Oryctolagus cuniculus: one gene and its partner. The protein of the gene in region 1 purifies or fractionates together with the protein of each later gene. This does not show direct contact. Links are inferred from orthologs where the notes say so. Each region holds a gene or a part of one and is shown in the gene's direction. Other genes may lie near its edges.

Evidence for each region.
Region 2: the proteins of DGCR8 (region 1) and SRPK2 purify together in Homo sapiens (affinity purification with mass spectrometry; 3 studies listed by BioGRID and IntAct, with this or other methods). This does not show direct contact. The link is inferred for Oryctolagus cuniculus from reciprocal best matches to the Homo sapiens genes DGCR8 and SRPK2.

Annotation. Positions count from the first base shown.
Region 1 is NC_091452.1:27,771,715-27,775,519, forward strand, and holds part of DGCR8 (microprocessor complex subunit DGCR8), read left to right. Parts: intron 1-3,113; coding exon 3,114-3,214; intron 3,215-3,386; coding exon 3,387-3,493; intron 3,494-3,805.
Region 2 is NC_091434.1:139,311,252-139,315,056, forward strand, and holds part of SRPK2 (SRSF protein kinase 2), read left to right. Parts: intron 1-983; coding exon 984-1,009; intron 1,010-2,155; coding exon 2,156-2,402; intron 2,403-2,953; coding exon 2,954-3,436; intron 3,437-3,805. UniProt on the Homo sapiens protein: Serine/arginine-rich protein-specific kinase which specifically phosphorylates its substrates at serine residues located in regions rich in arginine/serine dipeptides, known as RS domains and is involved in the phosphorylation of SR splicing factors and the regulation of splicing.

The DNA of each region.
Region 1 (3,805 bases):
CAGGTGTAGTCTTCGTTCCCTGGAGGGGCTGAGCAGAGGAGGTTGGCTTTATAGACAGGAAGCACAGTAGACGGGCCATCCCACAGTTGCCGTCCCTGGGAGGAGGGCACGGCGACAGAGCAGCGGGACAGTGACTGGTTCACGGCAGGTCACGCCCCGCTGCCCCGGCCCTGTGTGGCAGTTTGGGCTGTTACTCTGCTGATTGCTCTGCGGGTCACGCAAACAGCTTAGTTTCAGCTTAGTGGCTTGGAGCTTTGAGCATCAGTGACTCCATCTTGGTTTTTAGCCAGGGCTGTTGGGCCTTAAGGCAGGAACTTAGTCCAAAACTGTAGCCTGCTGGAATAGTGTCCTCTCCAGGAAGAGGTGCGTTCCAACCTGATTTCGAGTGAGCCGCCTGGGGGGTGACTGCTGCGGCTGCCTCACTGCCTGAGTGAGTGGGTCAGGTTCTCCTGGGGAGCGGGGGCGCTTTCCCGGAGTGGCTCTGGAAGGAAGCGGAAGAAGGAAGCTCCCCTGGCGAGGAGGCGTGTGGGAGGGCTCCGCGCAGCTGCTGCAGGCCTGGGAATCCAGCTCTGCCACCGAGGGCGTGTGCTGGTTCACCTGCCGCCTCCTCCTGGGGGAAGGCCCTCTCGGCAGCCCCCAGTTAAGATGCCTGCGGCTGGCGGGGCCCAGCTTCCTGCCTCTGCCAGGAAGGTCCCACGACCCCTCTGGGTTTGTTAGTTGCTGGAGAAACTCAGAGGATTCAGGAGAACATTTTAGTTGTGATAGCTGTTTATTGTACAGCACACACGTGAGCAGATGACACTTAGGAGTTCCGGAAGGATCCTGCACGTAGGAGCCTCTGTCCCCGCGGAGCCGGGAGCGCCTGCGTCGTGGCGCGCGGCTGTGCTCTGCAGCGAGGAGGAGGGGCTGAGCACCCTCACCCTCTGCTGGGACCTGTCCTGAGCCGCCTCGGTGGCATAAGCTCAGGGGTGGGGAGGCGCCGAGTAAACAGGAAGCCCTCCAGGTTTTCAGACGCTGTGGGTGTTGGAGTCGAAGACCAGATAGACTTCACCTTGGGTAAGGCTCCCCGCTACCATCCGAGATATGCTTGAGGAGTTTCTACCTCCTTTTGAACAATTTCTTTATAGGCAAAAAAGAGACAGATCTCCTATCTGGTTCACTCCCCAAGTGCTTGCAGCGTCTGGGGCTGGCCAACGTCAAAGGCAGGAGCTCAGCTCCATCTGGGTCTCCACGGTGGGGGCAGAGGTGCCAGCCCCGAGCCAGCACCTGCTGTGTCCCAGGGTGCGCGTGAGCAGGAGGCTGGAGCTGGAAGTCGGGCTGGGACACGCCCCAGGCCGTCCAGCATGTGCTGGGGTGTCCCTGTCCCAAGCAGCGTCCTTGTTTTGTTTTGTTAAGATTGATGATTTGAAAGGTAGAGCTAGAGAGGGAGTGACATAGATCTTTCCATCTGTTGCTTCACTCCCCAAACGGCGGCAGCATTGACTGGGGCTGGTCCAGGCCGGAGCCAGGAGCTGAATCCGGTTTCCGCCTGCTTGTTCACTGCTAGCCTTGTGGAGGTGCCGTTGCGCGTCTGCAGCAGCCTCGTGTCTTCCCTTTGCTAGACTCCTTTATGCCTCCGTCACTTCCCTGTGGATTTCTTGGGTTTCCTAGGTCCGATCTGTCCCTTGTGAACGCTCCTTTTCCAATCTGGGCGCCCCGGCCCCCGTGTCTTCGCCCACGGTAGCGTGGTGAGAGCGGAGCCGCCTCTGTCCTCTGTCTCTGCGAGGGCAGCGTCCAGGCTTGTCTCCTGCAGCTGCCCTTCAGCAGGCTGAGAAGGCTCCTCTGTCCTGTGTGCTGAGCGTCGACAAAGGCCGTGCATCTTGTCATGTGCCCTTCTGTTTTTGCCACGCACCCTTTCTATGTCTGTTGATCTTTTTTTTTTTTTTTTTTTTTTGTTTAGCCTTTTTTAAATACAAAAGTTCAGTGAGTTGAGTCTGTGTTTTCAGTCCGTTCCGGGGCTGACCCCAGCTGGGCAGTGGGCGTGCCTCGGGCTGTGTAATGGTGCCAGTCTGCTCCTGCGTGTGTGTAGGGTCCACTCCTGAGCTCCTGGGCATCTGCCCCGAGTGCCAGGCCGTCGTGGGATGAGCTGGCAGCTGTCCCTACTTGGCTGGGATTTGGAAGGAGTCTGTACAGAGTCCTGTCTTCCCTTACCTAAGTGTTTGGTGGTCAGATCCAAAAAAGCCCTCTGAGCCCCGGGGTTCTCACCTACGGATCTCACTTGTTGGGTAGATTGCGGTAGTCTGTGCTTTCCAAGGCAGGGGTCCCCGGGACCTGCATTGTTGGGTCTACATGCGTCGGGTGGTCCGTGACATCCTCTGGGCACCCATCACCTGGGCTCGTCGCCTGCTGTCTGCAGCAGTGGTGACCTGTTCGGAGGTGACTTGTCCCCTCTCTATGCGCTGTCCTGGCAGGCGGCCCCTGAGCAGACACCTGCAGAACAGGGCGGGGCCAGCTCTGTGATGGCTGTGAGCTTGGCGTGCACCCCTCTGGCTGGGCGGCCACTCTGGTGTCTGGAGCTTGCTTGTCAGCTGGGAAAAGCGACCCTCTGCCCAGTCCCGGGCCACCTTGTGCTGGGCCCCATCACGTTCCCAGAAGGGCCTGTCACAGTGCAGCCGTGGGTGCCTGGGAAATATAGTCAGCCTGATGGCGTCCCTGTGACGGGAGGGGAGAGGAGCCCAGTGAAGGTTGGAGTGGAGCTGCCACGAGCCGGGGGATGTGTGCCCAGGCTGCTGCCGGCATCCGGGGGAGCGCAGTGAGGCCCTTGCTCTCCAGCCGGCTCCCTTGGGCGTGCTCGTGCCGGAGCTGCAGGGCCACAGCTGTGATTTGTCTTGGAGACGCTGGCCAGGCCAGACCGCCCGTTGCTGTCTGGGCCGGCGTCTCCGTGGGGCCTCTGGCCTCGGAGAGCTGGACTTTGCAAGGTGCCCGACTTCCCTCGCCTGTGATTTCCAGAAGGCTCCTCCCTCAAGCCTCGGCCTCTGGTTGTCCCTCTGTCAGAATGAGGAGGCGGGGTCCCAGCGAAAGTGTCCGGGGGCGGCGGCCGGGCCGGGACTCACAGCATCCGTTTGGTGTTGCAGTACTTTAACCACATCAGTATCGAGGACTCGCGGGTCTACGAGCTGACCAGCAAGGCTGGGCTGTTGTCTCCGTATCAGATCCTCCACGAGTGCCTTAAAAGGTAGGGCAGGAGCTCCCGGCTCTTCCTCCTGGGCGGAGCCCGTGGAATTGCGTGGGGAGGATGGAGGCGCCCCCGCCCGCCGCGAAGCAGGTGGGGAGCGTCCCCGAGCAGCCCTCCCAGGAGTCCCGTTCTCTGCTCGCCGCTCCATGCCACCTTGTCTTGGCTCTCGTAGAAACCATGGAATGGGGGACACATCCATCAAGTTCGAGGTGGTTCCTGGGAAAAACCAGAAGAGCGAATACGTCATGGCGTGCGGCAAGCACACAGTGCGCGGGTGGTGTAAGGACCCCGCTCCCGCTCCCCGCGCGGGCTCCCTGGCTCTGCCCCGCCACTGCCCTGGCCCTCTCCCCAGCTGTAGCAGTGTGGCGCCTACGCCTGTGCGGCCTGTGCCCTGTGGCAGGAGGGGAGGCCAGTCTCCCAGCACTGCAGGCAGGGGTTCTGCACCACGCCTGCCCCTCACCTGCCCTCCACAATTTGGTCTCTGGGCTCCTGTGTCTGAAACTTACCTTTGTTGGATACCCGTACGGCCCAGAGCAGTTTTGTGCCAGTGAGAAGGCCCTGGGAAACCGTCTGGCCACACGTGGCCCTGCG
Region 2 (3,805 bases), on another chromosome or scaffold:
CACAGAATTCAGTGGTGGCAGTGAAGTGCCAGCTGTGCCTTCACACTCTTCACACACATTGTCTGTGCCCCTTGAGTTGCTAGGCAAGCATACAGGCTCGGGTGGAGTGACTGAGGTCTTTGGGAGGTGTGCTGTCTCTGGTCTCATTTCCTACTGATTAGGATGTGGTTTAGAATATGCAACCAACCTGTCAGGCTCTTGACATTGGGAGGAATCTAATCATGGGATTTCCAGAATGCTACATACTTGTGGCAGTGTTTATTTAATTCATTTGTGGAAAGCTTACAAATAGATTGCAAACAAATTTGGTTCAGTGACAATGTGCTCTTTGTGAACTCTTCTCCATTTTCTTAAGTCACCTTTTTGTGTTTTAGGGTTGATTGTTTTTACAGTTTTATATAGATAAGAGAAATGGTTCAGGATCAATGGTATTGCTGTGCCTTTTAAGAGCCAGTTATTGGCCGGCGCCGCAGCTCACTAGGCTAATCCTCCACCTGCGGCGCTGGCACCCCTGGTTCTAGCCCCGGTTGGGACTCTGGATTTTGTCCCAGTTGCTCCTCTTCCAGTCCAGCTCTCTGCTGTGGCCTAGGAAGGCAGTGGAGGATGGCCCAAGTGTTTGAGCCCTGCACCCACATGGGAGACCTGGCTCCTGGCTTCACATCGGTGCGGTGTGCCGGCCGTAGCAGCCATTTGGGGGGTGAACCAACAGAACGAAGACCTTTCTGTCTGTCTCTCTCTCTCTCACTGTATAACTGCCTGTCAAAAAAAAAAAAAAAAAAAAAAAAAAGCCAGTTATTTCAGAGTTATTTCAGATGCCTAAACTTTTTGAATCCCTATAATTAAGAAGCTCTGAATTTGAACAATTTTTGAAGTTAGATAGCCTTTAAGAGATAGTAATTATTTTATTTTGCAATTTGAATTACCTATGTAAAGATATGTATTTATTTTCTTCTAAACATCTATTTTATTTTATTTTGTTTTAGTGAGTACGGCTCCACAGCAAAAACCTGTAAGTACTTAACAAATACATCTGTGTTCATTTTGTCATCAGGGACTGCTTACTATAGCGTTTCCCAAAGTATGACAGATGTTCTGATACATACTGAAGAGTAGACATGTTTATGAATGCTGTGTGAGTTGCTGTTGGGTTAAGATGAAATGCTTTCTTCAGGGCTGCAGTAATTAAAGGCCTACCTTCCTTATTCCTTTCTGGAGTGCCGTTGGCCACATCTGGTGAAATGTGAGGTTTGAAGTGTGATTGTTTCCAGGTCATTTACATTATTTCTGGTTGGCTTCCACGTTACTGCTGAAGTTCTTGTTCAGAACAAGTTCTGAAGTTCTTGTTCCAGTTTGTTTTCTAGCCAGTTATTAATTATGAGAGTGTTACCTATTTTGTGGCTCTATCAAAACACTATATCCAGTACATCAGCCCTCACTTTGAGGTGGGAGTTCAGTTCAAGTTGTGGGGGTGGGAGGCTGTGGTAATTGGGCTTCCTCATCTGTGAGGAGCCCAACGCGTTCCCTTAATTCTAGAGCAGCTTGAGATTGCTGGTTCTGTGGAAGACTCCAGACTGTCACTGCCAGTGCTTGCAAGTCACATGGCCATGGCCGTGGTATTCCCGCAGTGCACTTTGTATGCTCATTTCTTTGAATTCGTCCTGTCTTGGCTGTTGATAACACTGAGAATGTGAGAGCCAGACACCCAAGAATATTTTTGACCAACAGTGACATACACCTCTTTTGGCAGGTGTTTTGTTTTGTTTTTGTTTATTTGTGGCAGTAAGATGAGATGGTGTTACTTTGTACACAGGCAGCAGCAAATAAAACTTGCAAGAGGAGCTTCTTGTTCAAAGCCAAGAGTGTTGCAGGATTTTCAGTTCTTTCAGAGTTAAGTGGTGCAGTCTTTTGGGTTTGAACTCTCACCTTCTAGAGCAGGGCCTGATGGTAGACCCCACATGTGGTTTCTGCCTGCACTGAGTTCTTTTTTTACCACAACCCCAACCGCAAGGTGGACTTATGTCTGAGCTTGTGCCTGTCAGTGGGTAGGACACAGAAAAGCAGTTTGCTGGCATCTGCTATGCTGCCAGCACTTGTACTATTGGGTGGTACTTGAAAAAGATGGAAACTGACCTGTGGTGTTTTCTTAACATTGTAGATAGGAAAAATATCTAAAAACAAAAAGAAAAAGCTGAAAAAGAAGCAGAAGAGGCAGGCAGAATTATTGGAAAAACGCCTGCAGGAGATAGAAGAACTGGAGCGTGAAGCTGAAAGGAAAATAATAGAAGAAAACATCACCTCAGCTGTACCGTCCAACGAGCAAGATGGTGAATACCGCCCAGAAGGGAAACTAAAAGCGGCAGGGCTGGAGGAGACCGCCGAGGAGGAGACCGCAAAGGACAGCGGTCAGTGGGGCCTGGGGGCTGCTCGGTGCTGGGGGCCTGCACCTACTTCACACTGCCTCTTCAGATAGTGAGACCGTTCCCTGCACCTCCGTATTGGCAGTATCAGAGATAGGCCGGGCCCTCACTTGCAAAATATGGGCCAGGAATACGGTAACTTCTCAACATAGGGTTTAAAGTACAGAAAATGTCTGAGAAGCACAGAGTCTGTCTTACTAGTGACAGTCCTTCCTTTGGTTTGTAAGTAACCTTTGGCTAATTGTTGGGCACCACAAAAACCCTTTCTGAAGGCTGCAGAGAAGGTAGAAATTGAAGTACAACATTTTTTAATGAAGATTTTCCCTAAAAGCTAACTTATCCTGAGAATAGGCCAATTAGTGAGTAAACAAAAATTAAGATTTAGGAAACCTAAAGGTTTTACCCCAAGGGTCAAGAGGCATTCACTCTGTGATACATAAATGAAGCACGGCCAGGTTCAGTCTTGTGGAAGGGGAGGTAAGCACCCATGTCACAGAGGGAGAGGGTGCTAATTTCTAACCCATCCACTTTTTAAGGTGACGCCGAGGACCAAGACGAGAAAGAAGATGCCGAGAAAGAAAACATTGAGAAAGATGAAGATGATGTTGAACAGGAACTTGCGAACCTAGATCCCACCTGGATAGAATCCCCAAAAACCAATGGCCATATAGAGAATGGCCCCTTCTCACTGGAACAGCAGCTGGAGGAAGAAGAGGATGATGAAGATGACTGCCCAAATCCTGAGGAGTATAACCCTGATGAGCCAAATGCAGAAAGTGATTACACGTATAGCAGCTCCTACGAACAGTTCAATGGTGAATTGCCAAATGGACGACATAAAATTCCCGAGTCACAGTTTCCCGAGTTTTCTACTTCTCTCTTCTCGGGGTCCTTAGAACCTGTGGCCTGCGGCTCTGTGCTGTCCGAGGGATCACCACTGACCGAGCAAGAGGAAAGCAGTCCATCCCATGACAGAAGCAGGACCGTTTCAGCCTCTAGTACTGGGGATTTGCCAAAAAGTAAGTGTCCCTTCCCATCAGCTGTGTCTGTGGTGGCCCTAGGGTCGTGCCTTTGACAGATCCTGTGCATGGAGCTGGCTGGAGGCGGTGAAGCCATGGATGTGTGCGCTCGCCGTTCCCGTGGCCCTGCTTGTATACTTGGGAGCAACATGGATTAAAAATAAATTTTGTGCCGCTAGGCTTTCTCTTGGTCTCAGCAAATGAAATCTCCTTTCTGGGTTTTTCTCATCCTTCTATGTTTAGTCAGTGACATCACACATTTCCTAGAACTTAGTGGGTTTCTGCAGTATGTTGTTTTGCTTATAATTTGTGACGTCTTTGGTCTGGTATTGTTATTTTTCGTTTTTCTTTTATTTCTGTTTTTAAAAG